Caenorhabditis elegans: one gene and its partners. The protein of the gene in region 2 interacts with the protein of the main gene of each other region in a pairwise test. Each region holds a gene or a part of one and is shown on either strand. Other genes may lie near its edges.

Region 1 (10,074 bases), on a different chromosome or scaffold from region 2:
TTTCGAAATTCTCAACTTTTACCGCCAAAAATCCGACGTTGAGCTCTTTCGGTGAATATCCTCTTTGCAAATTACGACGCACGTACTTATCGTAATCACGGATGATTCTGCAGACGACGTCACTTGTAGAGACACCTTCAGTTCGTTCCGTTTCCAAGAACATTCCTTCTCTACGAAACTTCTCATACAAGTCCTCCTCTCCTGGTGCAACATATGGAATAGCGTCATGAGCAATGAAATCAACTTTAAGGTTTTTCAAAAACTCGACAGTACAAAACCATGGAGCCTCTCTGTAGACTTCATCAACGTACCGACAGTGCCGAACACCATCGTAACGTTCTTCTTCTGAAGTGACTGTTCTTCCTTTGTACTTGTGAGTGTCGCGATCACCACAAACTGAAATTTGAAATGAAAATCATAATTGAAAAAGATTAAAAAATCAAACCTCCAACAATAAGGTAGACATTTGGGAACATTTTCTTCACTTGGCGAAGTTGATTCGCATGCCCATGATGGAACAGATCATAAATTCCATCAGCATAAATTCGCACAGGTCGGCCAGCTGTAAGTTACAGAAAGCTACAGATATTTTTGAAGCAAATAAAGAGAAAAAACGAAGAAAAACTGAGTAATAGAGAGTCGTGGCAACTTCTGTACTCTTTAAGTGCACACACTCTTTTTTTTCTAATATTCAAATGTTTCGAGAACGTAGACGGTATTTTCTAGTTATAACTCGCAAATTTTCGCAAATGGCTAATTTTCCTTTTTACTATTAGAAATTTCAAGTATATTCCAATATAATATTTTCAAATTAAAAATTCTCACCCTCATTAGCTTCTGCCATTGCCAAAGTTATTTTCTTTGAATAATCCACCGCTTCTCTTGTCGTAATCGCCAACGCCTCGTCGGAAAATGGAGCTGGCTCATCTGATGCCAACGACCTGACAACGTACTCCACTTCCGTCGCCTTCTTCTTCACCTCCACATCTTCTTCTTGTGGTGAGTCCATTGTTCTCTTTCGTTGTGGCATCTTTCTGAACGATCAACGGTTAAATATGAAACTTGTTAGGAATTTAATTTTGAAGCGAATAACAAAATAGAAACACAAAAGTTTGTGTAGACTAGAAAACAAGGGGGAGTAGACATGGTTTTTTATTTTCTCATTTGGAGAAGCACACGAAATTGCGAAGTACGTGTGTTCTACTTATCAAAAGGCGTAAAAAAAATTGATAAGCGCAACGCCTCAAGGGCGAAAGTCTTCGGTTATCGTGCGATTCAGAGAAATCGCACCATTTTCTACTTCCAAAGTTTCACAATCGACCTAAGCCGAGCCTGACAAAGTGTGCAACGCCACGTGGGCAAATTTTTAAAGAAGTGATGTCACAAATTTAAAATTCTGTGAGTTGAAGCCACGCAAAACGTGCCAATGGAGAGTGCGTGCAAAAATTTTCGAATTAGAGAACTAGTGAAAATAAGGGAAGAAGCGGTGTTAGAAAGGGTCGATGGAGAAGGCGAATGGGGGGAAAAAAGACGCTGGACGGAGCGGAAAAAGAAACATAAAAGATGAACGTGGCACATTGCTTTTTTGCTTTTTTGAGTTCCCTTTTTAAGCGATGTTTTCACAGAAAAATAGTTTTTCTTAACAAAGGCTTTTTTTAAGTTTTGAAACTTTTTTTTGAGTTGACAAACTCTTTGAAAATCTAAAATCTGACGTGAACATTATACGCATAATTTTAACTCTAAAACTACAACAATAAATGGAAAAAAATGTCTCAGCTAATGCATTAATTCTTTGTTGTTTGTTTCGAGTTTCGCAACACACAAGAGAAAATGGCAAAAAAAATATGTGACACATGGGCAAACAGAACTAGTGATGGGACCCAGGCAACTAAAGAAAAAATGTTAGCATTTATATTTTTTGTTTTTTAGCATCTTCCGAAAAAGCGTATAATTAAGACGCTGTAAGGATAAGAAGCAGAGAGACACAGAGAAAAGAAGAAAAAAAAACAAAACAACTTGAGAAGACGACAAAAACCAAGCAGAAGGGCAGCCGAACAGAGCGCAACACGCGGCGAACAGCCATCTGGGCAATGAGCCACCAGGTTATACTACTACATTCGTTGTGTTTGTTTGTGTGGTCGAATGACACCACGCACAAAAAAATGGAGGCCACGGGAAATGATGGGCCAAAGAGAGAGAGAGAGAGAGAGAGAGGTGGTAAAGATGAAGAAGAAGATTTGAATGCGCGATTAGAAAAGAAAGTCACAGATGAGTCATTAAAGAAATTATGAGAAGGTCTAAGGAATTGAAATGTTTGTGTCTATTCTTGCCAGAAAATATAAATTTTGGCTTTCTGGTGCCTTTTAGATATTGGAAGTTTTATAAACATTTTTCTACATCCAGTTAACAGTGGAGTATCACCAGTAGGGACATTCTTAAAAAAACACTTCAATTGTGCAAAAATTACAAAATTTCATAGTGAAACCTTTCGAAAAAATATACAAAAGGTTTATTGAGAGTTACTGATATTGCTTTTTTTTGAGAAAACTATAGACTGCCGCATGTTCGAATCCCTACAATGGGGGAATATTAATATTTGTATTTGAAATTAATGTTGAAACATAAGTACTTACTTACTTACTTACTTAGTAGACTATAAAATACCAATGTAAAATTGTTTGATCGAAGACTACCAAAACAGTGGCAAGAAATTAGTAAAGATCATTTTAAAACAAAATAACAACTTTTCAACAACTTTTTGAAAATTTTACTTTGATATTGGATTAAACTGACACCTTATAAGTAGTTTTAACAACTTCCCTAGTGGTGCTACTTCACTTTTAACAAGTCTGTAGAATTTGGCACCTGACGCGGTCATTATGAATAAGATCGTGGCGAGACCCAAAAACAACGTGTGCCTTTTAATTGTTACGTCAAAGTTTTTTTAATTGATAAGTCAAAATTATGATAGCAGTTTCATTTGCATTTCTAAAAACTTATAAAAAAACACAAATTGTCAGATTAAAACTAAACTTAAATTCCACATCTTAAAAAGCACTTGTTATGAACGATAATTTTGGATAAACTTTATTTATTTACATAGGTATATAGTATTTATCTCATTAGTCTTGTTTGCCAAAGTGGTACTGTCATTGTTGTTATCAACAATACGCGTCAAAGAAAATTTTTGAAAAACTATTTTAAGTGATCATAGATTTCAAAGAATGGATGTGATATACCAATGATAAATACATTGATAACGTTTGGAAAACACTATTAATCATAACAACACATACTTCACCTTGTAAATTATTTTATTGCAGAGCCACCAAAGTTTCTTCAAATATATAAGATTCCGTTGGTTGACCCCAACTGCTCAAAAGTTTAATTGAAAAAAAACGGCAAGATAAATTTTTATTACACAACTTTTCTGATAGAAGTTTTGCTCCTAGTGTTAGGATTCTTGAACACCCATTACAACTCCAAACCCAACGGTACAAAGGTAAAAAACGAAAGTTAGTGAGGTGATTTGATTCATGCCATAATTGACGCAATAGATCTGTACTCTTAGAGGTTTCATTGACCCATCCATTATTGCTTGCCAAACGTTCTCTTATCTCATTTTCCCCTCAATCTGTCCACACTTTCTTCTCTTTGACACGAAAGAATTGAGGCCAACTGATAAAGATACAACTCAAAGAATCACTATACAAAAAGGTCATTCTTCGTGTTCATTTTTTCATGTTTCTCTCTACCATGAAAATATGACGTGCCGAGTCGGTGTAGTGCATTAAGAGCAAAAGTCAAGAGGAACCATTACAGAAAATGTTAGGGTGGTTTGCTGGGAGAGAAATTAGTTGTTTATGAGAAGAAGAGAAAAGAATGAAAAATGAGACTCTGGACTCTGGAACTACTCTGATTTCATAGCATTTGATAGCGGCCACCACTGCGGTAATGCACGTTTATTGGAAAAGATGGAATTCGGATTGAAAGTTTAATTTTCGGATTGGAAAACGATAAAGGTGATTTTAAAAAAATCATTTTCATAGTTATTCATCAACTTGAGACGGAAAGTTGGAATGTTTTCATTGACGGACTAGACAAAATATGTTGACTGTTACTTGGTAATAAAAATAGATAGAATTTGTCATTTGAATTTAAAAGTTATGAATTAAGGCATTTTATATCGAGTGTGATGGATTTCAGGTAATTCTCTGATAATAAACGCGAAGAAACCGGAAATATAGACATGGTGCGTTGTTCTAAATTCATATTCAAAATGTTCCTCTGCCCACAAAATGAAATTAATATTTGACACTAAAAACGAATGTAGTATTAAAAAAAGAACCAATAATTTGATCCTATAAAAACGTTTTAAAATGTACCAGTTTTTTTAAATTTTTATTTATTCGTTTATTAGCTTTTTACCCCTTGAAATTTATCAAGGGGTAAAAAGCTAATAAACGCTGCGAAGGCGGGGCGGGAACGTTTAACCGGTAATAATGTAGTTTTACTGTTCCATAAGGGAAGATACTTATGTAAGAAGTTTTTGTGAGGCCACAAGTACACAGTAAGTATGGAAATCTAGGAGGTCCGGCTTTTCTGACAAGAGAGGATTTTATAAAGTAGGGCTATTGGTTCGTGGTATAAACGTATTGACTCAAAATGTGCTGGAAAAAAAAAACAAATTTCGTAGTGAGTCGCTTGTTCTCTTTTAAAACTTTATATTTAGCCCGAGTAGTGAGACTGTTTCATATACCGTATTTCTTCTATTAGTCTTGCATGCAAGACTAATTTTCCATTGGTCTGTAGGGTTGCAAGACTATTAGAGGCTGCAAGACTAGTTTTCGAATGCCCCATCTTTGAAAAAATGACCTATTTTTTGTTGAAAACTTAACTCGATAGCTTGCTGAACGATAAAAATATATACTTTTGCAATATTTCATAAATTATTTGATCATTTTCTAGGTTATTTTCTCAAAAATATCAAATTTGCTGACGTTTCCGCAAAGTACTACTGGTCTTGAAAAAAGAGGGATGCAAGACTATTAGAGACTGCAAGACTAATAGAGGCTGCAAGACTAATAGAGGAAATACGGAAAACTGTTTTTTAATGAAAAAGGGTCTGGTTACTTTATACTTGTTAAAAATTTAACAATTAAATGCATTTTTGTTGTGTAAAATTTCAACATTGGTGCACTTTTAGCCCGCTTGTGATGCATGAAAGAAAGATCCGATCAATCCAGAAGGTGGTGCAGCTCCAGTAAAATGTTTATTCCAATTAAAAGTCATAAAAGTCCCACATAACCGTTTAGATTCTTGAGAATTTTCATTCAAAGTTGTGGTAAATTGCCACAACTAGAATAAGTTGAACCTATGAAAAATATTAGAGCAATTCTGCATTTTTTTAAATGTCTACAATATATGTATATACAAATGATCAAATCATAGTTAGAATATGAAACTTGTATGTAGAAAAAACTATTTTTGCCGTGTTCCAAGATTGTGATTTGTGAAAACTGAATGATAACTACCTTTTTGAAAGCAAAATTATTTTAGATTATTTATCACTGTATAAAGGAGTGATTACAAAAAATCACCCTGACCGATGCTTCACATTTAAAACAATAGCTTCATAATCCTGCATAGTTTCAAATAATAGTTTTACAGTATGTAATTTAATATTTTTACAATTCATATTGAATAATTTCTAAAATATAAACTTCGTTGATCCTTTTCGATTATTATTTCAAAAAAAAAGTACTCTTTCTTTTGTTTGTACCCACATCTCCAAATCATTTGCACGTGTTCAACGTACTACACAAAATGTATGTCACCCACAAACACTAGCATCTGTGCCATTCATTTCAGAAACATGATTCCGCTTTGAAGTTATGTCGAGCACTGCAATCTAGACGCTTTTTTTACTTGTGTCGTCAAGATCTCTTTCTTCTTTAAGACAGTTGAGCAAGATTGAGGGAGACTGCAGACACAGAAGTGTCCCGCAAAACATCCAACGAGGAAAGGAAATGAGAGAGCGGGAGCATTTCAAAAGAGCACATCAGATCCAGAGATTGCAGAGGCGATTTCTCGCATTTTTCGATCGCGACGAGTCTCTTGAGTTTACACTGTGTGTTGAGCACCCCAGCTAGCCACACCGAGCATTCTACCCTCTGACAATTTTCACCCCCATTCCGACGACTAACCGCTGATATCCAGATACAACAATGGATGACGACATCTTCAAAGAGGTATTGTTCTTGATCACTGTGAGCTTTACTTAAATTTGAATTTTTTAGGCAAGAAAGGAAAGAGATGACTTCGAAGAGTTGATGAATGCCTGTGATCTTGCCAAGATGTCCGTGAAGAACAATGAAGTGAGTTAGAGAAACCGAGAGATGACGGAAAAACCGGAGAAAAACGCGGGGGTGTCTGTATTGCGAAATGATTAAAAAAATACCTTCCAGATGGTTCATGGTCTAGAAACCTTCGGCATCAATGGAGAATCGTCAGAAAATGGAAATAAGGAAAAGCCCAAAGAGATCATGAAAGTTGTTGCCCCAACAGTTGAAGCATATGTGAGTTTGGTAAAATTTAAAAAAAAGAATTTCAGAGATTGAAATGTTTGATAGGTTTTAAGGCAAATTTTTTTAAATGTTTTTAAGATTGGATTCATACTGACATTTTTCAACCCTTGGATACAAGTGAAAAAATGTTGAATTATCTGAATAGTGTCTGAAAACGCTTAAATACTTTAAAACAGCGCCATCCTAATTTGATTTTAAAAGCATCAAGTAAATTATTGTAGGTCGGAAGTTCAAGTGCTCAAACTCCAACAAAATCGAGTGGCGGTGCTTTGGATGGCAGTGATCAACAGGTTTGTTTTATTGTTTTTATGAAGTGTGTGTTTTTGTGCATTTTTTGTTGAATAGTTCGTGCTTTGAATAATTTTTAATTAAAAAAACATTGATTAGGAATGTAGTCTATAGGTTTGTACAGGCAAAATTTCCGGAGAAAATGAAACTATATTTTTTGAGTTGTTTGAGAGAAATTGTTAATTTTTTGCTGAATTTTAGATAGTTTAGAAAAGGTTTTATTTTCTAATTTTATAATTAGCATACTAGTAAAAACTTATTTGCCAGAATACACAAAGACAAACTCAGTTCTAATTTAATTTAAATTTAGCCCATTGTCGAAGTAACCATGTCCTGTACATTTGTTGGAAGAGAAAGCTCAGCAGGATGCTAAGAAGAAAAAAAAACAAATTATGATTTTTGTTGTTTGTGATTTTATTTTTCTCTTATCATTTTCAAATACTAACTTGGAATATAATTTCTTGCTGCTCCTTATGCTTTTTTCCTTCAACCTATCCATTTCCATTCTTCTCCTTTCCCAAGCTAATTCACATGGGTATTGTTGACTTACTCTTGTTTGTGAATAAACATTTTGCTGTTGTTGTTGAAGTTGATGCGCTCACTTTCAGCACACGAACCAAATGTGCGGAATATAGATGTGAGCATTGACAGCTTGAATGTGAAAGAATGAGGGAAATGGGAATAAAAGGAAGAAAAATATAAGATGAAGGAAAAACTGAAGAAGGGAGGGAATGAAGAAGGCGTTAAATGAAAAAGAGACTCTTTTAGTCGATGAAAAGTGATTATTGCAGGAAGTGCGTCAGGACGGAACTAGTGTGCAAAAAGATGACAACGGATTTGTATTCTACAAGTGTCGTTTCTGCGGACTCACATTCAACTTCATGAACACTCTCCGTGCACACGAGAGAATACATGACGTTTCACAGGTTTTCATTCGCTGGATTACTTATAGAAACTCTTTGTTTCAGCCATATGTCTGTGGAAAATGCGGAGACTCATTTGAATTTGCTTGCCAACTGGAATATCATGCCGCTCAGCACTCAGAAATTGACGGGTACAAGTGTGAATGCGGAAGGACGTTCTTTTCTTACACGGAAATGTTATATCACAAGCACACGGACGATCCACTCGAATTGATAGGTGCTCCAGAGGTTTGTCTAATTGAGAAATCTGAGAAATAATAAATTTACTAGATTTTACTAATCAGTAGAGCTTTTTGAAACAAAATCTGAATTACGAACTTCTCGGAAAAAAATCAACAGAATCTAGCTATGGCTGTTTTAATGTTTGATTTTTTATTCTTCAGTTCTTTCGACTCAAAATCTATCAAAACCTTTTCATCCAGCCATTCGCTTTTCAATTTTGTATTTGGTTTTCATAGTCCTTGATGTGAGAAAATTGTGAACAAAAACTTTGTGTGTCTTGGCTTTCTGACGTAAAAAAAATATTTTTCTCAACAAAAAAAAATTGCTGATAGCCTGTGAGAGGGTGCAATTTGATACGACTGCACTTACTTCTTGCATCACAACTGTTAAACAGATGGAATTTCAGTGCAAAAAAAAGAAAACGTTATGAAACAGAAGTTATGAAACCGAAGAAAGTTCCAAATTTAAAAACATGTTTTGGTCGTTTACCTTACGTTGTTTTGTTAATGAAGATACGTTTCAAGCAATTAGGGACCAAAAATTACCACAATTTGCTACCTAAGTCTTTGTGACTGGGAAAAATTGAAACAACTCGAGTTTTTGACTGAAATTTGGGTATTGCCTTTTCAAAATTTTGAACCCCCATAAACAAGTTTTTAAGTAATTTTTGAGAAGTAGTATTTCAAATTTCGTTCGTTTGGTTTTGTTAAAAATCACACGGAAAAAAAGCCGAAACCGTTTTTTTACTTTAACAAGGAATACATTTGTGAGAAGAATGAAGATTACCAATATAATTTGAAATACTTCAGACAACCACAATAAAAGTAAGCAAGAAGCGAGTCCTACCGGTCTCCGAGCAAGATCTTCCACAGCCAGCTTTCGTTACTGAAGGATACGAGCCGAAGCATCCACTCCGAGTGTACAACGACGTTCGTTCAAAACCATACATTTGTGAATATTGTTCGAAAAGCTACTCTGACAGTCGTGGTCTTGCATATCACATGTACAGTCATCGTGGAGAGAAGTACTTCAATCCTCGAGCATCTCGTTATATGATGGGAAGGGAAGGAGTTGGGTACACTGATTCCAGAAGCTACTATTTATTCCCAAGAACAAGCGGATACGTGACTCCGCGATTCTGAGCAACCCCTGAGTATTTAAAATTTTTCTAATTTAGTATTTAAATCTATCCAGATCTTGTAAAATATATATATATTTCAACATCGGCTAGCTTTAACAATATTTGTCCTTCAAAATGTATATTCGATATGGTTCTTTCATATAACTCATATTTCTTTCTTTCAACTAAATCAACGTTTTTCTTTAGTGTTATCGTTTTCTCATTTCTTGTCATTTTGTCTTTTCCTCACATTTTTAAGACGCTCGTTATAAAGACGGTCAGCAGCAGAAACTCGTTTTGTGTTCAACATAAACTACAATTGACTACAAAGCACAAAAATCGTGTGTTTCCAACGCACTCAGACACACTCTATAAATACTGTTCTCGTCATGTCTTGTTGGTATTTTCTTCTTTCCCTGAAATATCGATTCCTGGTCAATCGTACAATTGGGACCATGTTAAGCGGGAAAGACATTGACCGCTAGCACAAATGTTGTCCGGCTCTCTCACAATCAATCTTTCTTCTGTGATGTGTTACGACAACCCACAACCGATTTTTTGATAGCAAAAATGATAAGATGATGATAGCGAGACAGCTCAATTGTTCGTTGTTCTAGAAGTTGTACGTTTTTTTAAATTTATTTTGCATCATTTTGAATTCATTATTTAAAAATGTATAAAATTGTTTAATTAACGGTTCTCGAAATATTTTGCCACTTCACAGCCACGATATCTCACTCAATAAAGCAAATGCAATTTGGGACACGCACTTGTGTTCGTTATTAATATCGAGTCCCCATTGAAAAAACTAGGCCACGCGGCCGTGAAGTACTCTCGGAAAACTACACCATTTTTTATTTTTTTATTCTACTTATATTTTCTCAAATCTCTTACTTTCAATTAATGCTTATAATTAAGACTCACAAAAATAATT
Region 2 (9,539 bases):
TTTGTGATTGTAAAATCAGCTGGTTTATCCGAGAAGAAAAAAAATGAGGTGAACGTTGCCTGAAATAATTTAAAAATTTATTATTTAGACTAAAATGTTCACCTACCACAAGCAATAGGCCTGAATTAATACAAAACGCAGTTGCCCATTGTGCCCGGCTATTCTCATCGTGAACTGTCAGAGCTACTAATGCTGGAACAAAGAATAATGCAATTGCTTTGCAAAATTGTATTGCAGCAATCACGACGTCCGCATACTGTAATGCCACGTATCTTGCACATTGATAATATCCACCACAGTTTGTAGACATCATACCTAAACATATACCATAGTTTTCAAAAATAATTTCAAAACGAACAGTTAACAGCTGTAACCAAGGTCATAGCCCACCAGCGATGAGCTTCATCAACAAATCCAACGATTCCAAATAGAATAGACACAATACCACATGATATAAAATTGAAAATTAGCATTTTAGTACGAGGACTAATAAATGTAACTTTATCACTAATATACGCAGCGAGTAATTTGAAAGGGATCTGTGCAAAATTGGTTATACTGATAATAAATCCAGTTTGTTCGATTGTAAATTTCAAAACTTGATTGAAATATATTGGAGAGTAGGTTATCAGAAGGATTGACATTGATAAATCCATGAAAGCATTGAACCAGCAACAAATTATTGCCGGATTCTTTATCATTGCAAAGTATGGTATTATTCTGAAGTTTCGGCTGGTTATACGTTTTTGATAAACTAATACCTTTTAGTTTCATAATGTTCAAGTGATTTTCCATCTTGAATATGTTCCAATTCTCGAGTCCCAACAAATCGATGAGTCGCTGGATTATCCGAATAAAAAAACCCATAAAATAAAACAGATAACACTAGCAATCGAGTGTACGTAAAATGAAGATTCCCATCCAAAAGATGTTGTGCAGAACTAAAATATGGGAAACTGAACAATTAGTGAATTAGTTCTTCCCACTTATGCTGCCTTTAGTAAGTAATAAAAATTCAAAACTTTAAATTTTATACTAATTCTAGTGAACCTACCCATCCCGTTAACGAATCCGTAATTGAGGTGGCAAACGGTGAGAATATCGTTAGAGCAGAGACGAAAAATGCGTTCTCGTCAAGCGGAGCCCATTTCATACAAATTATTCCAATAACTGCAAAGTCTGCTGCATAAGAAATTCCTTGAAAAAATCGAATGATTAAAAGTAGATAGAAGTTGGTTGAAGCCATTGTGGGAATTAATACAGTCGATATAAATGAGAGAATTCCAGCCGAGAGAAATGTGAACCTATTGGAATAATGTTAATATGTATTAGAAATTACTTCCAAAAATATTTACCTTGCTCCAAATTTAACATAGCACCAATTATATGGAACAGTTCCTAGTACAGTTCCAATTGCTACCGCCCATATTATTTCTGCTTTTTCATCACTCGAATAGTCATAAATATTGTATTCAGTCTGGAAATAGGCGTTAACTTTTTTTTGATTCAGTAACTTACTCCATTTGGAGATGTCCTAATACCAGATGAGTCATTCTTCATACAAATGAATGTAAAATTTATGACTGTATAGTTCGAAAATATACTCATTAGACAGAAAAATGCAACAAACATAATTAAAAATCGAAATATTGGAATATCTTTTACCATTGTAGGCAATCAGTCAAACCGAATAAAAAAATAAATTCTCAATTACTTCTCCATTCTGAACTATTTGAACTGTTTGATGAAAACCAATGAAACAAGTGATTATAGTCTCTGTTTTCGTTAATTTTGAATTTTGCTTGATAAGGCTGCAACAAAGATCAGGTTGACATATATTTTCAGTAATTTATTTTAACCTGTACTCTATCACTGCCGGCTATAATAAGTTCTTGAATAAAATAATTTTCCCGACAAAACATGAGTATTTCTTTCGAAAATAAAAGTGCAGGCTAATTAGAGATTATTCTGTAATTAACTGCATAATTTGTCACGTGCCATAGTTTTACATTCCACTACGTCATAGTTCTTAAAATACTAATCTCCTGAAAATAGAAGTAGGTGAAGAAAGTTTAATTATCAGTTCTAAAATGACAATTGATCTTTGGAATATGTTCTGAAACTACCGATCATTGAACAGATGCTATTTGAATGATATAGAATTGTATATTTGCAATTTCTGAAACGCGTTCTTAAAGGCACACAGATTAATTCAAAAGGGTCTGGCCGCAAAAAGGTTTATGGTGGCCGATTTTGAGTTTTGTGTGTGATTGCTTTTTCACAATCAGTGTTTTCAGGATTATGTGATGAACTAGATCTTCAAGTTTCGTTACATTTCATATGTTTTCGGAACTCACGAAGTACATATTGGGTATTGTGCTCAAAAAATTCAGCAATCAGCTTCGCTCCGCTGACTTTAGAACCCAAAAAAATAGTATGGCCAAACTGACTGTGTTACGATCATTTCAATTTTTCAATACATATTTAAGATTTCTAAGAGTAAGAAGGTCAAAAACTGTTCTGGAATACATATATATTTTTCAGGTTACAATTAGTCAAAAAGTGCACTGAAATATACGTTTTAATTTCACGAATAACCCAATTAGTTCAATGTATTTTTGGTCAACCAACGTTAAAGTTTGGCTTCCAACCAATTATCATTTCTGATCAACCACAATGTTTTTTCTTTATCTGCAAGTTAATTTTTTATTTTTATCCAGATGTTTGGCATATTTTTCAATTCTTCACTAGCGCCCACTTCTTGCACTTCCGGCGCCCTGAATCTAATGCATCTGTTGCAAGAATTGAAAGACCAATCAACACATTGTTTTCTTCACGAGATACTGAAGAAAATGAATAAAAACAGAGAAAAAGAGCCATGTGATTAGTGACAACTGTTGCTAACAGATACCATAGCTTGGACTTGGTACGTGATGGCAACGTATGGGTCAACAAAAATGATTGCAGAGGGGGTGCAAAACAGTCAAGTCGAGAAAATATGAAAAACAGAAAACAAAGAACAGAAAAATGGGTTTGAGAGTCAGTATAATTTATAAAAGAAAAATTGTACATAGAAATTAACCATTTTTGTAGAAGAAGTTATTTTTCAAGCATCGTTAAAAATTATTCAAAGCACCTTATTTCATATTTAATTTTAAACATGGTTAAATGAACAACACGGTGCGCAATCAGGAAAACTTGAAATCTGAAACTGTTGTTGTGATCTTCTTCGCAACTGTTCAGATAGCACTAGTGTAATGTTAAGAGTGCGCGAATATAATGGAATATAATGGATCACACCTCCTGCCATCAGGTAAACGTCTCTGTTATCACATATTTCCAACTATTAAATTTTTACCTTTTACAGTTTTACATTTTTTTGAAAAAAGTAACTTTTTGTCTTCAAAATCCCTGACGAAAATATCAAATATTTTAATCGAGACTGCAGAGGAACCGATTGATGATTTGGAAAATCCAGCTTTACCTGTGTAAGAACTGAAAAGTTTCATAACCCTAGGGTATTCCCAGTTACATTCCCCACTGGCTAACAATAGCACCCAGTTTTTCATCACCTTTCTTCAAATTTCTCGGCGATTTGTTAAAAACAAAATTTGTGTCCCTTCTCTGATATCTCTATGTCTCTAAACACAAGTTCATCGGAAAACGAAGGAGGGTAGGTGTTGGTTGGGCTCCCGAAGTGAAAATAGAAGAGCAAGAATAGAATATTAGAGAGAGAGTGCAGAGAGGGCGGGATAGCTCCCGGGATTCCGTTTTCTTCTTCTTTATCTTCAACGATGATGTGTGTGCGTGTTGTATAGATTCTGTTGCTCCCCCACAACTCGCTCCGAAGGCTCAATACAATTCAATTGATATTGGAGGAGAGCCTACCGGAGTGGGAGGATAAGAAGAAACATAAGAAGAAGAAGAAGAAGAAGCATGCTTCTGGTTTTTGATGCTATGAAAACGGCACAAAAAGATGATTGAGGTCCCTTTTCAATACCTTCTCTCATCTTTCAAATCCCATTGAAACCTAAAACTTCTCACCACGCTTTACCATTGTTCTCCAAAAACTTATAGCAATGTCTATAACTTTTTTATCTCTGAAAAGCAGTGTTCCATTTTTCTTTTTCCTATTTTATTTCAATTGTTTCTCACATTTCGTTTGGATTCTTTGCTTGTCAACCAGCTTCTTCTTCCACTTTTACCGTCTAATTTTCAGGGCAGGGAGCCATCAAACCCACGACCACTAGATCCATCTAGAAATGTCTGGAAATCCAGACGCATTCGAAAATGATCCAGGATTCCCATTCTTGGGAATCTCGAGAGAGGCCAGAGCTGCCACTGCTGCTCGTCCTTTTGATTCCAAGAAGAACTGCTGGATTCCGGATCCAGAAGATGGTAAGTCTTGATTTCGAATTGAAAATTTTAAAGAAAAATTTTGAACCACGTGCTGTAATATTTGGCAAGAATATTTTCCCATAATTTTAATAGTAACTGTGATATGTTCTAATTTTAGAAATCAGTTGTCAACGCTAAAAATGTAAGGGTTACAATAGTGGTATTGCAAAGAGTTATGATGGTTAAGTTTGTAAATACTTTTTTTCTGTTAATGAAACTAATTTGGATACAAATTTTTCATTTGATCTAAACAGAACATCTTAATCAAAAAACACTTTAAAACTCTTGCTTTGATATTGTTTGTTCAATTTCCTAATTCTTACCAAACCAATTCAAGCTAACTTTCATTATGTCCATTCCATTAACAAAAACTATTATTACACCTTCTCTCTCATCGCCAGTGTCCACATTCATCCTACTCTCCTACGCTTTCATCTGTGTCTCTCAGATCTGCATTTTATCTATGATACATCACACTTTCCACCGACCCCGCCGGGCAACCAGTGGTGGCGGATTTTTGAACATCTGAGGTTCTCTCATCTCTCGGTCATCTGATGAAGCACATACACACATACACACAACGGCACTTTGTAATCTTTCCGGAGAAGCGGGCAGGCACACACGTACGCTATGAAGCCGGAGCAAGAGCTTCTCCTGCCGTTTGAACTGCGGCTTCTGCTGTTGGCAGGAAAGATGATGAGATTTCTTGGAATTTAAGATTGAGATATTTGACGTCCCACATTTTATGGATGGACAACAATATGTACATGTTTTGAAGATTTAATATTGAAATGTGGATATGAAATCGGAATTTAAAAAGTCAAGGTCAATAAAATGGTAATTCTGACCAGATCTATTATTCGAGGATGACAAATAAAACTAGGATTAAATCAAAAATACTAAATTTGAAAATGAAAAAGAAAAGATTGTTCTATAACTTATAAATCTCACAATAATGATTTTTGTACAGAAACAAAAACTAAATGACATAATCGAATAAAACATTCTGATTTTAATCAGCCGCATGCGACAAAACATATATTTCTTGGAGGCTAATATTAAATTTCAGGATTCGTCGCCGCCGAGATCCAATCCACCACCGGCGAACAGGTGACCGTGGTAACTGTGAAGGGAAACCAGATTACCGTCAAAAAAGATCAATGCCAAGAGATGAACCCGCCAAAATTCGACAAGACCGAGGATATGGCTAACTTGACCTTTTTGAATGAGGCCTCTGTTTTGGGAAATCTCAAGGATCGTTACAAGGATTTGATGATTTACGTAAGGAAATTGAAACTATTCAAAAAAAAAATTAATACTATTCAAAAATTGAACCGACTTAATTTTCAGACATACTCCGGACTTTTCTGTGTTGTAATCAATCCATACAAACGTCTTCCAATCTACAGTGAATCTGTAATCAAGCACTTCATGGGAAAGAGACGTAATGAGATGCCACCTCATTTGTTCGCTGTCTCTGATGAAGCTTACCGTAACATGGTTCAAGGTATGTGAAAATTTAATTGTTTTAGAACTTTATTTTTCAAATTTCAGACAAGGAGAACCAGTCTATGCTCATCACCGGAGAATCTGGAGCTGGAAAGACTGAGAACACCAAGAAGGTTATCTCCTACTTCGCTATTGTTGGAGCCACGCAAGCTGCTTCCGGCAAAGAAGCCAAGGATGGAAAGAAGGGAGGTACTCTTGAAGAGCAAATTGTGCAAACGAACCCTGTGTTGGAGGCTTTCGGTAATGCTAAAACTGTCAGAAACAACAACTCTTCCCGTTTCGGAAAGTTCATCAGAACTCATTTCTCTGGATCTGGAAAGTTGGCTGGAGGAGATATTGAACACTGTGAGTGATCTTTTATGATTAGTTTTTAAGAAAAAATGAGATTGGAGGAATTTAAATTGAAACTAGTGAAACCATTCAAAAAAGAAAAATATTTTCAGATCTTCTCGAAAAATCTCGTGTCGTCCGTCAGGCACCAGGAGAGCGTTGTTATCACATCTTCTACCAGATTATGTCTGGAAACGATCCAAGTCTCCGTGGAAAGCTTAAGCTTAGCAACGACATCACTTACTATCACTTCTGCTCGCAGGCCGAGCTTACCATCGAAGGAATGGATGATAAGGAGGAGATGAGACTTACTCAGGAAGCTTTCGATATCATGGGATTCGAAGACAACGAGACTATGGATCTTTACCGTTCCACTGCTGGAATTATGCACATGGGAGAAATGAAATTCAAGCAGCGTCCACGTGAAGAGCAAGCCGAGCCAGACGGTGAGGAAGATGCTCTCAACGCTGCTGCCATGCTCGGAATCCAAGCTGAGGAGTTCCTCAAGGCTTTGACCAAGCCACGTGTCCGTGTCGGAACCGAATGGGTCAATAAGGGACAGAACTTGGAACAGGTCAACTGGGCCGTTTCTGGACTTGCCAAGGCTATCTATGCCCGTATGTTCAAGTGGATCATCACCAGGTAAATAACAAAGAGCAAATATTTTTAATTAGGGTAAATATTATTCTACTTATTTTACTTTTAGATGTAACAAGACCCTTGACGCAAAGGAGATTGAGCGTAAGCATTTCATCGGAGTGCTTGATATCGCTGGATTCGAAATCTTCGACTTGAACTCTTTTGAACAGCTCTGGATCAACTTTGTCAACGAACGTCTTCAACAATTCTTCAACCATCACATGTTCGTTCTTGAACAAGAAGAATACAAGCGTGAAGGAATTGCCTGGACCTTCATCGATTTCGGACTTGATCTTCAAGCCTGTATTGAGCTTATTGAGAAACCACTCGGTATCATCTCTATTCTTGATGAGGAGTGTATCGTTCCAAAGGCCACTGATATGACCTATGCTCAGAAGCTTCTTGATCAACATCTTGGAAAACATCCAAACTTCCAGAAGCCAAAGCCACCAAAGGGAAAGCAGGGAGATGCTCACTTCGCTATTGTTCACTACGCTGGAACTGTCCGTTACAACGCCACCAACTTCCTCGAGAAGAACAAGGATCCTCTCAACGACACCGCTGTCGCTCTTCTCAAGCACTCTACCGACAACTCCTTGATGTTGGATATCTGGCAAGACTACCAGACTCAAGAAGAGGCTGCCGAGGCTGCTAAAGCCGGACAGACTGCAGGAGGAAAGCGTGGAAAATCATCTTCATTCGCTACCGTCTCTATGATCTACAGAGAGTCTCTCAACAACTTGATGAACATGCTTTATCAAACTCACCCACATTTCATCCGTTGTATCATTCCAAACGAGAAGAAGGCTTCTGGAGTTATTGACTCTGCGCTTGTTCTTAACCAGCTTACATGCAACGGAGTGTTGGAAGGAATCAGAATTTGCCGTAAGGGATTCCCCAACAGAATGCTCTATCCAGATTTCAAGCATCGTTACGCTATCCTTGCCGCTGATGCCGCTAAGGAATCTGATCCAAAGAAGGCTTCCGTCGGAATCCTTGACAAGATCTCTGTTGATGGAAACTTGACCGATGAAGAGTTCAAGGTTGGAGAGACCAAGATCTTCTTCAAGGCCGGAGTTCTTGCTAAGCTTGAGGACTTGCGTGACGAGATTCTTTCTAGAATCGTTACCATGTTCCAATCCCGCATTCGTTCTTACCTTGCCAAGGCCGAAGTTCGTCGTCGTTACGAACAACAAACTGGATTGCTTGTTGTTCAACGCAATGTTCGTGCTTGGTGCACACTCAGAACCTGGGAATGGTTCAAGCTTTTCGGAAAGGTCAAGCCAATGCTCAAGGCCGGTAAGGAACAAGAAGCAATGGGAGAGCTTGCCGTAAAGATCCAAAAGCTCGAAGAAGCAGTTCAACGCGGAGAAATTGCTCGTTCCCAATTGGAATCCCAAGTTGCCGATTTGGTTGAAGAGAAGAACGCATTGTTCTTGAGCCTTGAAACTGAAAAGGCTAATCTTGCCGATGCTGAAGAAAGAAACGAGAAGCTCAACCAACTCAAGGCTACCCTTGAGAGCAAGCTGTCCGATATCACTGGACAACTTGAAGACATGCAAGAACGTAACGAGGATCTTGCTCGCCAAAAGAAGAAGACTGATCAAGAACTTTCTGATACCAAGAAGCATGTTCAAGATTTGGAGCTTTCTTTGAGAAAGGCTGAGCAGGAGAAGCAGAGCCGTGATCATAACATCCGCTCCCTTCAAGATGAGATGGCTAATCAAGATGAAGCTGTCGCAAAGCTTAACAAGGAGAAGAAGCATCAAGAAGAATCCAACCGCAAATTGAACGAAGATCTTCAATCTGAAGAAGACAAGGTTAACCATCTTGAGAAGATCCGCAACAAGCTCGAGCAACAAATGGATGAGCTCGAGGAAAATATTGACCGCGAGAAGAGATCTCGTGGTGATATTGAAAAGGCAAAGAGAAAGGTCGAGGGAGACTTGAAGGTTGCGCAAGAGAACATCGATGAGATTACCAAGCAGAAGCATGACGTTGAAACTACTTTGAAGAGAAAGGAAGAAGATCTTCACCACACCAATGCTAAGCTCGCTGAGAACAACTCTATCATTGCTAAGCTTCAACGGCTTATCAAGGAGCTCACTGCTAGAAATGCCGAACTCGAAGAAGAACTTGAAGCCGAGAGAAACTCTCGCCAGAAATCTGATAGATCCCGTAGCGAGGCTGAACGCGAGTTGGAAGAACTCACCGAAAGATTGGAGCAACAAGGAGGAGCCACTGCTGCGCAACTTGAAGCCAACAAGAAACGTGAAGCTGAAATTGCCAAGCTTCGCCGTGAGAAGGAAGAAGATTCGTTGAACCACGAAACTGCCATTTCTTCCCTCCGTAAGCGTCATGGAGATTCCGTTGCCGAACTTACGGAACAGCTTGAGACTCTGCAAAAGCTCAAAGCCAAGTCAGAAGCTGAGAAATCTAAGCTTCAACGTGATCTTGAGGAATCCCAACATGCCACTGACAGCGAAGTTCGCTCTCGCCAAGATCTCGAGAAAGCCTTGAAGACCATTGAAGTTCAATACTCTGAGCTCCAAACTAAGGCCGATGAGCAATCGAGACAACTTCAAGACTTTGCTGCTCTCAAGAACCGTCTTAACAACGAGAATAGTGATTTGAACCGCTCTCTCGAAGAAATGGACAATCAA
Region 3 (12,665 bases), 390 kb from region 2:
TAGCAGATTGGCCATTATCGCCTGATCTTCCAGTTTGAACTCTTGCAGAGTCAGCAGCCCTTCTTGATGTTGGTGTATTGTGAACACTTCTTCCATTTTCATAAAATTTAAAGTCCACAAAAATTTCAAGTTTCTCATTCAATGGCTTCAAGGAGTCTGGTTGATTCAATACGTTCTTATAACATAAAACGCCTTCTGGATTCGGACGTGGACCACCAACAAAGCTAACTCGTGTCTCCACTTCTTTTCCAGAAAAGGCTCCATCTGAGAATGGAGTCCATGCAGCCCATCCGATTAGAATAGTCTGATTAAGGCTTTGATTGTCTTCTCGGTGAAAGGTGTATTCAAGCAAGAATATGATAGCCATTCTTGGATCCGCATACAGATTTCGAAGTGCCAGACGCGGGTTTCCAGCAGCTTGAAATAGCAGTTGTCTGAAATTATGAAATTATGAAAAATTCTTCTTTTACGACAGGACAAGATTTTAAAACTTACTCTTCCCAATTTGATGATTTCCCAAAGTCAATAGGTTTCTTTCGCGATCTTAGAGTATCACCAGCATTTGAGGAGATTATTTCCAAGTCAACTGTGAATGGTTCAGTGACATATGTGTACCCATTGTGTACTCCGATCTAATAATAAAGTATAAATAAAAAGATAAACGATTACTTGTTTCTTGCAAAAATATTTGAAAACCTGGACGAATTCAAAGTAATGTAAAAATGATTCCTAAGTTTCACTGCACCTTCCGTGTAACAGCAAATATCATGTTTTTAGCCAACTTTTCACCAAAAAACTCACTCTCAATTTTCTATCCATTATGATTGCTTTTGGTTTAAGAGTTCCTCCTTCTTTCAATGCCCATTCTTTTTCAATATCATGTGTAATTTGTTTTTCTAATTCAGGTACATTATTCTTGAATTGAATTACAATTGCATCAATTGCAGCGGGAATTGTTGGCATCTCTTTTGGCGTGCTCAACCACCATTCTGACACAAAACATTAAAAAATTAAAAAAAGGAATATTTGTTAACTAACCATCAGAACTGTCTTTGATTATTCCAGGAATAATGTCTTTGTCGCAAACAATGCAAAATTCAGGCAAACATTGGAAGAATATGGGTGGCATTTCGAATATGTTGTATGTACATTCAACATTTCCAACTGGTTTTAAAACTGTTTCTTTATCAAAAATTAATAGTTTTGGAGTTCCACCAAATATATCGAAACTAAAGTAATAAGAAAAATTATGTTGGAGCAATAATTAAAAAAACTCACATTTTAGTGTTTGATATTTCTACGGGCGTTTTCTTCTCGATATGCGTTGAAAACCATCCAACGCTTGTGGCAGGCGCTGTAATTTTTGTACTTTTCGGGTTTTCGAATGTTCTTCCATCTAGAAAAGTTTAAAATCTAATTTATTTATTGTATTTGCCCTATGCAAGGAAGAAAAATGTTTCAATTAGTGATTTCCAAATGTTTATTTTTAATGCGAGTTTATTTTATCGTGATATAAAACTTATGTTAGTATAAATTTACTAAATTGTGCATTATTTTGAAACATATGGTCATAATGATTCGGAAAATTCTCTGAATTATTGAGAAGTTATTTAAAAAAATAATGACTGAAAGACAAATAGGAGCTAAAAAGCTATTTTCAAATATTATTTTGAATGAAAAGCCAATAAAACATTATGATAAATAAATTTAAAATGTTCCTTTAAAAATTTAACAATTAAATAACTTACTTATTTCGTCTGATCCTTCTTCCACAAATTCAAGAATAAGAAGCACATCTCTGCTGTTTATAATTGAGTAAAAATATAATGTCTGCAACATATTCCAGTTATTAAACAAACTTGTACAATTTCTACTTCATTAAAAACACAAGTTCCATTACTATTCGCTGGAATCCATTCTGTTCTACATTGCCTCCCAAACATTTGAGAAGTCTTCGTGTCGAATAAAAAAGCACTAATCTGGTATCGAATGTTCTCAGTCAGCTAAAGTATTAAAATCATATATTAATTAATTATATCGTTTACACATACCTGTGGAGATGTCAAATTGGAAATGAACATTGAATAACACAAAGCTTTAGTTCCTCTCGAAACATTACGTTTCATTTCAACTGGCCGGTTTGCCAGAAACAACGAATACCAGTCGTTGACCGACATTTTTCGAGACTTTGTTACCACAAACTTTAGTATTTTCAGCTAGTTTCTAGGCAATAATATATAGAAACTAAAAAATAAACGTTCAAGAAGAACGATAGAGGAAATACGATAGAGAGTGAAAAGAAGGAGTATACGAATTGGAGAGCGGGTGCTGGTTGTCATGGAAATGAGAAGTCCCAGCTGCTGGGAACACGTTGGATTACGTATATTGAGCATTAATTTGATGTAATGTGTAAATTGTTGGGAAATGTTTATATACTGAATAGTTTTGATTATGCTATTGCATTTTGTATTGAGAGTCGTCGTTAGAACAAGATTAGATCAAATCACTTGATTTTTTTTTCGAAATTTTTTTACAGAAAACTAAGTACTTTTCTATTTTGAAATGTTGAAATGATGCCGTTATCCTTTAAATAAATATAAATCACAATTTTCCACGAAGTATGGTTAGCCACTTTGGATGAGAAACTCCAGTTCCTTTCTGGAAACAACTCACAACTAATTTTTTTTAATTGGTCAAAACTTTTTAAATGTAAACTGGAAAGGTTCCTAAAAATTACTACCTGGGGTCAAGCTGAATTGAGGAACATCTTGGCCACACTTCGTAAAAATTCTATAAGTATCTTAGTAACTCCAGTGAAAAAGTTCAATAAGCCGGCAACAGTTACTAGATTTCCGTAAATTGTCTATGAAAGTTTAGACAGGAGAAACCTCTTAAAATTGGGACAAAATAGACTCTAAATCAAATTATTATTGAACATATTTTTACAATAGCACAGATCGTGTTGCAGTGATTAATAATGTTGTTGATATCATCTGAGAAAGTTCAGGTTCTCAGAAAAATGCAATCTCAAAAATGTACTTTCCCTGATTTTTCCTAGTTTTTTTTCTTTTTTTTCACTTCAGTTCACCCCCGCGATTCAAAGTTTACAAACAGCTGCTGCCGTGTACAAAACGTGATTCAGACTTCTCTATGACTCAGATTCCACTTTTTTGAAACGAGAAATTGTTTCGGTCGTATTCAAATTTAAATTTCAATACCCAATATAAGAATATGATGATGATGCATCAATTCACTGTCCTTCCATATCCCTCAGAATTATCCCTCGAAATCTCCGAATAAGACGTAGAAGACGTCAAAACAAAAGGGAAACTTTTTGTCCCTTTTCCATCATCTTCTCAATACTCCTTCCATAAAAGTCCTTTATTTCCGGGGCGCACACTCACACGCTGCTGCTGCAGTTGCCCCAACATAGGCCATACGTACCCAATTTTATAATCCATGGGAGTCGGGCAAACAAACTCAATTCGGTCATCTTCTCCATCTGTCGAGTCTCTGCTCATCCCGAAGGGAACCGTCCTGCTTCCGTCCGTCCCAATGTCTGTGTCTCTTCATCTCCATTGACCAGTGTCCTTGCCTCTTCGTCCTCTATTCCCGCCGCTCGTCCGTTCTTATACCCTTCTCTCCGCTCACTCGTCACCCGCTGACTGACCGACCGGCCAACCCGACTGAATCATCATTTCTTTATGTGTCTTCTTTCTCTCTATATTTAACAGTGTCTTCGTACACCGGTTGATGGTGCGGAATCATCGTTTTCACCATATTCACTTCTCACTCGCAAATACCTCAAAAGTTTGCTTTTTGTGACTTTTTGGCTTCGCAACTTTTTTATTTGAAAATTTTTGAGTGTGAAACATATATTCAACATGGCAAATAAAAACTAAGTTTCTTCATTTTCGGTCGAAATTTTAATTTTCGAATTTGTTTTTTTCTTAAATTTTATTTAAAAAATAGTTATTTCCTAAATTGCCGGCATGTGAAACATAATCCCCTATTAATTGTTTTGTTTTTTCGTTGAGTAAACACCCGAAAGGCCTCACAGGCCCCACCACACTTGTTTCTCGCTATTTTGCGAAAGGATTTTTTATTTTTTTCATTGAAAATTTAATTTTTAATTTTTGAAAAGTTAGAGTAAAGATTTTTATTTTATATGAGTCATTTTCTCAAAGAATAAGTAAATTCTGTGTTTGCCAATAAAGTTTAACGGTGACAGTACCCTCTTGGATCTCTTTGAGACCAACCACCCCTTCTTTATCGTGCGCCTTCAAATCTAACAGTAGTTCTAATCGATACTTTAATGTAAGGTTATGTATTTCTTTTTATATTTTTTGATTTCATCTCAATATAAATATTATTTCTCTTCGTTTTATTTGCATTCTAATCTGAATTTTCAATTTTATTAATTTTCAGAATGCCTGCGAATGGCAATTCTCATGCGTATTTCAACATCGACGAAGTGCGCTCGAAAAATGTTTTGAAACAAATTACTCAATTAATCAATGAAGTGACCAACATCACTGAAACGTTTCCGTTAAAACCTGGACAAACTACTGAAGGACTTGTCGCCACTCTTGATGCTGCCGTTGCTAATTTTCTTCAAACGGGAAGCTTTGCAATTTCGAAATGCCCAATTGCAAACAGTGATCCACGCGCAATTGATTTATTGCACGAAGCTCTTGGAGCAGTTCAAGATACTGGGCAAGTGATGATTCAAACTGGAAGAGATTTTGTCAGAGATTCAACTTCAACAAACAAACGAGCTATTGCAACGAATTCTGGTAGAAATTTGTTGACTGTAAGTTTTTAGGTACTCTTTTAACTGAAAAATGTTGTATTCAGGCTGTCGCTAAATTCCTAATTCTTGCCGACTCGATTGATGTAAAAGTGATAGTTGATAAAGTAGATGAAGTTCGAGAAACTGCACACCAAATGATTGAAGCGGATACAAAAATCAAAGTAGATGATTTGTACAATCTTCTCATTTCTCAAATCGAAGAACTTGATATCACTGTTCGACGACGAGCCATTGATTTGGTTAAACCAAATCAGAGAGATGATCTTCTAGCAGCAAGATCAGCACTTCGACAGACTGCACCACTTCTGTATACTTCAACACGAACATTTGTAAGACATCCAGAACATGAAGAAGCTCGAAGAAATCGTGATTACACTGCAGATGAAATGCATTCTGCTTTAAATGCTCTTGAATCTGTTTTAAACGGACAACAACCGAAAGTAACATTTTCTGAATATGGAAGAATAGGCGATCTTATCAATGAAATCGATACTTTTCAAGTGAGTTTAAAAATTTCAAATAATAAGACAAATAATTTATTTTAAGAATCGAATCGAAATTGATCCAGCCCATTATCGTCGAGGAACTGATCGTCCAGATCTTGAAGGACATTGTGAACGAATTGTTAGTGGTTCTGCTTCAATTGCCGATGCTGAAAGCACTCGTGAAAATCGAAAACAAAAAATTGTTGCTGAATGCAATAATTTGCGGCAAGCTCTTCAAGAACTTTTGACCGAATATGAAAAATCTGTAAGTTTTTTCTATTGATCTCTTGACTTGTTGCCTCGTTTAAAATAAAAAGAAATAAAAAACATTCAAAGAAGCGCATCTTTTTCACAAAAGGGCGATGGAGACGGTGAGAACAAACAAACAAACAATCGTGCGTTCTTTCAAGTGTGACGCCTTGTCCCTCAGGGCGAGAACAACTGTTTTTGTTTGTTAACCGAACTCGAACTAAAGCCGTTTTTTAGAAAAAAAAATGACCACCGCGAGTTCAGACATGGAAAATGTTTTTTTTAGAATTTCGGGGAAATTCTTTAAAAAATTTGTAGTAGTAGAAAATATAGAGACTACAAAGTTTTTACAATAAAATTTAAAGCTTATTACGACCTGTTTAACTATGTTTTAAATCTGTAATTTTTCAGACCGGCCGAAGAGATGATAATGATGATATTCCTCTTGGAATCGCAGAAGTACACAAAAGAACAAAAGATCTCCGGCGACACCTTCGTCGTGCAATTGTAGATCATATAAGTGATGCTTTCCTGGATACCCGTACACCGCTTATTTTACTGATAGAAGCTGCTAAAGAAGGCCATGAAGAGAATACAAGATATCGTTCAAAGATGTTCCAAGAGCATGCAAATGAAATTGTTTCAGTTGCTCGTCTTTCTTGTCAACTTTCATCAGATGTTGAAAGTGTTAGTGTCATTCAGCATACGGCTGCTCAACTTGAAAAACTTGCTCCACAAGTTGCTCAAGCTGCCATCTTACTTTGCCATCAACCTACTTCAAAAACTGCTCAAGAGAACATGGAAACCTATAAAAATGCTTGGTTTGACAAAGTGAGATTGTTAACGACTGCTCTTGACAATATCACTACTTTGGACGACTTTTTGGCTGTCAGTGAAGCACATATTGTTGAAGACTGTGAGCGGGGAATCAAAGGTATCACGGTAAGTATTTTAGTTCTCAAAATTTTAAATTTAATGAAAATTAACAAAAATAGTTTTCGCTAAATTCGTCAACTTTTGAGACGTTCAAACTGAATTTTCCAGGCAAACGCTTCAACACCGGATGAAAATGCGGCCAACTGTGAAACTGTCGACTGTGCTGCCGGATCGATACGTGGACGAGCTCTCCGAGTCTGTGACGTTGTCGATGCTGAAATGGACTTCCTTCAGAACTCTGAATACACTGAAACTGTTAAGCAAGCTGTTCGGATTTTGAAAACTCAACGTGTAGATCAATTCGCTGAGCGTGCGAGCGCTTTAGCCAACCGTCAAGAAGCACACGGACTTACATGGGATCCAAAAACAAAGGAAGAAGAAATGAATGAATTTATCAATGCTTGTACATTAGTTCACGATGCAGTTAAAGACATTCGACATGCACTTTTAATGAACCGAAGTATGAATGATGTTGATTCGGATGTAGAGTATGAAGCTGATGGTGTTGGTGCAGCAAATGCAGATGCTAATCGTACGATATCCGAACAAGAAAATCAACAGAATCTGATGAGACGATTGCCAGAAGAAGAGAAAAAGAAAATTCAAGCACAAATTGATATCTTCAAAGTAACACAAACACGATTCGAAAGAGAAGTTGCCAAGTGGGATGAAACAGGAAATGATATTATATCATTGGCCAATAATATGTGTAAGATTATGATGAGTATGACAGAATTCACAAGAGGTTGTGGGCCATTGAAAACGACAATGGATGTTATCCGAGCAGCACAAGAAATCTCACTTAATGGATCAAAACTAAATGCATTGGCACGGCAGATTGGAGAAGAAAGTGCTGATTCGCAGACGAAAAAGGATTTGCTCGCATATTTGTCACAAATCACTCTATATTGTCAGCAACTGAATATTTGTAGTAAGGTGAGTTTTTTTAATTGGTGCCACGAGCTGTAAAAGCGTACCAAATGTTTTTGGTCAATTGTTTGTTTCGGGGGTTTTTTAAATTTGTCAAATTAGTTTTTCAAGAAAATTGTAAAGATTCACAATTAAAAACGCGTCTATAAAAACTAAAACTGAAAAGAATCTCGTATTTTTCAGAATTATCTGAAAAGTTTTTGAAAAAATTGAGAATTAAAAAAAAAAACTTATAGATAGTGTGATATTTCACCAAAAGAGGTTTCAACTGTTTTTAACGATTTCAGTAGAGATATAATTTTACTTCGCGTTTTTTTTGCGAACCAAGCTCTAGACTGAAGCCATGAAAAATGAAAAAAAAATTGTGATTGGCCTCACTTATACTAGAAAATTGTTCATATACTTACTATAAATAAGTTTTGTTTAAATTGCTTTCAAAAAACCATGTGAAATATAACTTTAAACTTTTAATAGAAAGTAATATTTCAGGTGAAAGCTGATGTGACTCAAGTTGGAAATGAGCTTGTCGTATCTGCACTTGACTCTGCAATGTCTCTTATTCAAACGGCTCGAAATCTTTTAACTGCTGTTGTACAGACTGTTAAAGCTGCATACATTGCCAGTACCAAGGTTGGTTCCCTTTCTTTAAACAAAACATTAATTATTATTCCCACTTGATGTCTGATACTATTGCTTTCCAGCATTTATCACACATTTCTTTTTTCGTACAGACGATAACGGCTGCTTACGTAATTCATTTCAAATCAGATGGTATTTCGCCCACTCTTTTGAGTAGACACGTGGTTTAAAGTGCCAATAGACCAGTTGCCTTTTGTACACTGAATTTTGAGATTTTAGAAAGTGTACCCAAAAGTTTTAGAAAATTAAATAAATAAAATTAAAAAAAAAAAAAAACATTCTCAATAGTGTGCACAACGCGAACGTGCTCGAGTCGAATCAGCCGTTGCGCTTAGCGATGCTCACAAAGCTATTAATTATGAAAGTCCGATGGATGAATCTGGTGAGAAAAAATGAGAAAGCATTAAATATCGTGTTGTGTGGTTTTATCGATGTTGTTTTTGAGAAAAAGAGATATTGAGCATGTCGAATTTAATTTTTTGCTTTTTTCTCAAAATTTACGTTGGCTGCTGCGTAATTTAATGGTAAATATTTTTTATAGTTAAAAAAAGCTTATGTCTTGAGTTCAAATCAGTGGTTAAGACTATTAATGTTTGACGATTTTTTTTTAATGGAGTAGGGATTTTGCTTTAAAAAAATCCAGAATAGTTTGATTCTCAGAAATACCCAAAAAAGAGAAAGAATGAAATGTCGAATTTTCGAAAATCAGATTTTTCAATTTTTGGCGATTCCCTATTTGAATTCTCTCAGTTTGGTGCGAATTCAAACATGGAATTTAGCCAAAAATTAAAAGCAAAATCTCAGATTTTTATAGATTTCCTGAATCCTAGAAAATACAAATTAATTTTCATTATATTCCAAAAAAAAGAAAACAATTCCAGTTAAATATGTTAATTCAAATTGGTAAGGACATCCCTTTCTTATTTTCCCTTCACACTTAAAAATCGTTTTCCCAACAAAAAAACATTTAACTTTCTAAAAATGCATTGTATCGGTCTTGATGTGTGGACATCGATCCCCCAATATGTCGGTCTTGTGATCTTATACTCCCCCGTAAAAAACTCATACATTTTAAACTAGATTGTATTGCAACTTTAACTAAGAAAAGAAGATTAAGTTGAAAAAAAAACTTGAAAGAAATTGATACGAACGTAAAATATGTGTTATTGTTGATGAAAAGTGTCTCGATGTTGTTTGCTGTTGGTTTCATTTTCTTAAATTGCTCGAATGCTTGGAATTCTTTGCTGATAACTTCCTGAAACTCATCCTTATTCTTGCAGTTCCGTCGTCCTAATGCCAACAGTGTACGTGTCGAGTGGCGAATGGCTCCACCAAAGAAACAACCACTAATTCGACCACAAAAGAATAATGCTATAATCAGGTAACGTTTTCATCTATTTTTTTTGAATCAAGGATCCCTCTATAAGTGTTTCCTTTGCCTGCAAAAGGACATATGACACACTTCATTGAGAAGCCATGTGAAAAAAAGTAGTCGGTCCCTGAATAATTCATAAAAAATAGCACTGCCACCAGAAAATGGCACGTAGCTGCCATTGTCAGTAGTCCCAAGTCCCTTTTTTTGTGGTAAAAGTGGTGAAAGCCGAAAGAGCTGCGACACCAAAATGTATATTCTTGACTTGTTGAGCAAAAGTGTATCCCTTGAGGATCATAAATGCAAATTGAGTTTTCGGAAAGCAAAAAAAAAGCGACAATGTTCATAAAAAGTGATGAATAGTTGGATGATTTCGGACATTGAAATGAAAGTTTTAAAGCATCAAAAAACACAATTTTTCTTTTCTTTCAGAAAATTTTCCCCCCCTGAAAAAATTTTTGATAAGATTTCAGACATTTTTTAAACCTATTAAACTAAATTTTACGATTTTGAGATGCACCCCGTAAATCGACACAAGCGCTACAGTAGTCATTACAATAATTACTGTAGTTTTCGCTACGAGATATTTTGCTCGTCAAAAATATGTTGTGCAATACGCATACTCAGAAGTTGGTGTTCCCGTGATAGGTGATCACTAATTCTTGATCATTATCTATTCCATTACAGAAAATTAATTAGAATCCCCCTTTCAAAAGATGTATTCAACGAACGCCGACTAATGTTATAAAGAGTTTGCAGACGGGCATCCGAACGGCGACCTTTGCAACCAGCTAAAGTGCTCGCCGAGTTTACGCGTAACGAGATTGAGACGGGTCGTGATAGTGACGACGAGGAACTTGATCGCCGGCATCAACAAAGAATAAACGGTCGTTTATAGATAATTTATTTCAGTTTTATTCATGTATCTTCATACTTTTCCCTTCCAAATCTTTCCACACATCCTTTATATGCCCGAGTCTTTATTATTTTCTCATTCTTTCAATTCTCTTCAGCTAGAAATTTGTATCTGTGTATTTTTTGTATTCATTTCTGTTTAATGCTCTAAATTCTATCAGCTCATCACCGCCACCATTATCACCGCATTTTTCATTTTTCTCCCCCATGAATATCATAATCCATACTGTTGAAAATCAGGTAACTTTACATCTTTACAATTTATTTTCGCACTATCAACCTCACCCTTTCAACGATTTTTTCTGTATGATTCTGATTTCTAAACTCCCTGATCTATGTGCACAAGTTTTTCAAATTAGATGAACTCAATTCTTTCCTATTTTTATTATGTATATAGACATCAAAAAGGTCTCGTACATCTGGCACCGTCAAAATTGTTGTGCCTGAGCATTACGAGCAGCTGGTACTAAACGGAAGTGTGTGCAACAACTCTCCTTCCACCCTCGCCTCCTTCTTCATTTGTACTACGTTTTGCTTTTCCCCTTATTCTCTTCTCCTGGACTACTAGCAACAGAAAGGGAGGAGGACATAATTGTTTTTTTCTTCAAGAGAGACTTCCCAAATGGATATCCCCTACTATTTTCACACATTCCCATATTGCCACCCATGTTTTCGCTTCAAGACCCAATTTCAATTCCCTAATTTCCTGCGCATTTCCGTGTTTGCACACGCGGCGAGTTACTTTTTAATTTCCTGAAAGCTTACGCCTCCGGGTTTTCCGTTTTTTTTTTTGCTGCTGTTGCTGCAGAAAAATCCTGGAAATCGCGTGCCTAAAGTGTATGGAACGCTGCTTACAGAATTTCCAACGAGATTCTAGAATATTCAACTTATTTTTCTTTCGAGAGACAAAGTGATGGTGGTGACCCAAATACTAATTAGTACTATTTTGTACGCTCATCTTGCTCCAGCGTCCTTATTAGTCTCATTATTTTGGGGCGAAAGTTGGCTGGTTTTTTGTCTCTCGTCATTGTTTTGGATGACCATAGAACATCTTATTTAGAAACTTGTTAGTAGAACTACGTTACAAAGTACAGTAACTCTACAAATCTCCAAAATGTGGCAGCCTCATTTTTGAGTGTTCCGAAGTCACGACCACTTGGTACAGTCAATCATGTAGAAGATATATAGTGACGTCATTCTACCAAAATAAGTGTTGCCCGGATTTCCAAAGGTCTAGCTAGAATTAGGAAACTCTGACTGTTTTATGCAATTGCGCTCTTCTGAAGAACGCTGGTCTCGCAACATTTCAAAAATCAGTTATGTTTGATCATTGTCTCCTTATTTTGAATACCCTTAAAAATACCTGTATATGAAAAATGGGTTTTTTTAAAGATATTTTAATTTGCCACATTATAGAGAACTTGCTCACTTGATCTATTTAGTAAACTGAGATTTCTCATCTGGATATCCTCATATTTTAAATTGAACACCCAGGTTTGTACTCCATTAAATCTCATAGCAAACTTATTGTTCAATTTTGAATATTTTGAATTTTATCTATCTAGTAATTATTTTATGACTTATTCCAGTGTTTTTAAAAGTTGTCTTGTCTACTTATTGTTCCTGTTTATCACGAAAACTATAACAAATATTGGTAAAACTAAAATTCGATTAGCGCATTAAGCCAAATATTAAATACCAGCCGTGGACCGCACCTCCGGCGCGGCCCCCGACTTCTGGAGCTGAAAACCATTTTTTCTGAAACTACCGTAATCATACAGTACTCCTACCGTACCACCATTGTACCACTACAGTACCTCGACTATATCCCTACACTAACCCCAACTCACTATCTCTCCAGAAGTTAAAACTTCGCAGACTACAAAGAGTACATAGACTACAAACTATGGACAAACGGAATAAGCGCTATATATATAGTAAATGATATTTAATAAAACCTGCCTGACCAAAAACACTGAACCGGAAGAGAAGTTCCTCCTCTTCGAATTCTATTCATATCGTTCGTTATCAACGCAGTAATCAGTTTCCGTTTTCTTAACTAGTTAGATAAGAATATTTTTATTTCGGTACAATTTTAGTTGAACCAGACAGTTGTTGTTTCCTTGAGCACTTACCACGTGCTCATTTCGTAATAAATAAAAAATGACCCCCTGCTTTTGTGGAAGTTTCTGGAGTTTTTCCACTTTTTTGGAGAATTTGACACAAGAAGTAAATACTAGACTCATGAACATTCGTTTTGCATTCTATCATTTTCATCCTTTTTCATTCTTGTTTTATAATTAATATCAGTATACATATATTTGCA

What was found.
Region 1: the proteins of myo-3 (region 2) and unc-98 interact in a two-hybrid assay, tested with the Caenorhabditis elegans proteins (one study listed by BioGRID).
Region 3: the proteins of myo-3 (region 2) and hmp-1 interact in a two-hybrid assay, tested with the Caenorhabditis elegans proteins (one study listed by BioGRID).

The regions. Positions count from the first base shown.
Region 1 is NC_003284.9:7,569,728-7,579,801, reverse strand, and holds unc-98 (Zinc finger protein unc-98), read left to right. Parts: upstream 1-6,212; 5' UTR 6,213-6,227; coding exon 6,228-6,251; intron 6,252-6,299; coding exon 6,300-6,377; intron 6,378-6,467; coding exon 6,468-6,578; intron 6,579-6,808; coding exon 6,809-6,877; intron 6,878-7,425; coding exon of another isoform or gene 7,426-7,445; intron 7,446-7,666; coding exon 7,667-7,801; intron 7,802-7,843; coding exon 7,844-8,026; intron 8,027-8,829; coding exon 8,830-9,162; 3' UTR 9,163-9,428; downstream 9,429-10,074. Other genes in the region: pcyt-1 (Putative choline-phosphate cytidylyltransferase), read right to left, coding at 23-396, 446-562, 826-1,034, 7,426-7,445. UniProt on the Caenorhabditis elegans protein: Probable transcription factor required for muscle structure.
Region 2 is NC_003283.11:12,229,024-12,238,562, reverse strand, and holds the start of myo-3 (Myosin-3), read left to right. Parts: upstream 1-4,219; 5' UTR 4,220-4,262; coding exon 4,263-4,398; intron 4,399-4,782; exon of another isoform or gene 4,783-4,918; intron 4,919-4,973; exon of another isoform or gene 4,974-5,166; intron 5,167-5,467; coding exon 5,468-5,679; intron 5,680-5,748; coding exon 5,749-5,905; intron 5,906-5,952; coding exon 5,953-6,252; intron 6,253-6,350; coding exon 6,351-6,879; intron 6,880-6,943; coding exon 6,944-9,539. UniProt on the Caenorhabditis elegans protein: Essential for muscle contraction. Involved in ovulation likely by regulating the contraction of gonadal myoepithelial sheath cells.
Region 3 is NC_003283.11:11,841,449-11,854,113, forward strand, and holds hmp-1 (Vinculin), read left to right. Parts: upstream 1-4,428; 5' UTR 4,429-4,429; coding exon 4,430-4,813; intron 4,814-4,857; coding exon 4,858-5,313; intron 5,314-5,359; coding exon 5,360-5,563; intron 5,564-5,635; exon of another isoform or gene 5,636-5,858; intron 5,859-5,958; coding exon 5,959-6,489; intron 6,490-6,591; coding exon 6,592-7,419; intron 7,420-7,902; coding exon 7,903-8,043; coding exon of another isoform or gene 8,044-8,091; exon of another isoform or gene 8,092-8,340; coding exon of another isoform or gene 8,341-8,448; exon of another isoform or gene 8,449-9,332; coding exon 9,333-9,433; intron 9,434-10,174; coding exon 10,175-10,322; 3' UTR 10,323-10,717; downstream 10,718-12,665. Other genes in the region: nphp-4 (uncharacterized protein), read right to left, coding at 1-434, 496-632, 802-989, 1,039-1,229, 1,279-1,354, 1,749-1,830, 1,875-2,003, 2,052-2,177. UniProt on the Caenorhabditis elegans protein: Required for cell migration during body enclosure and cell shape changes during body elongation. Required for proper localization of other junctional components, such as pac-1.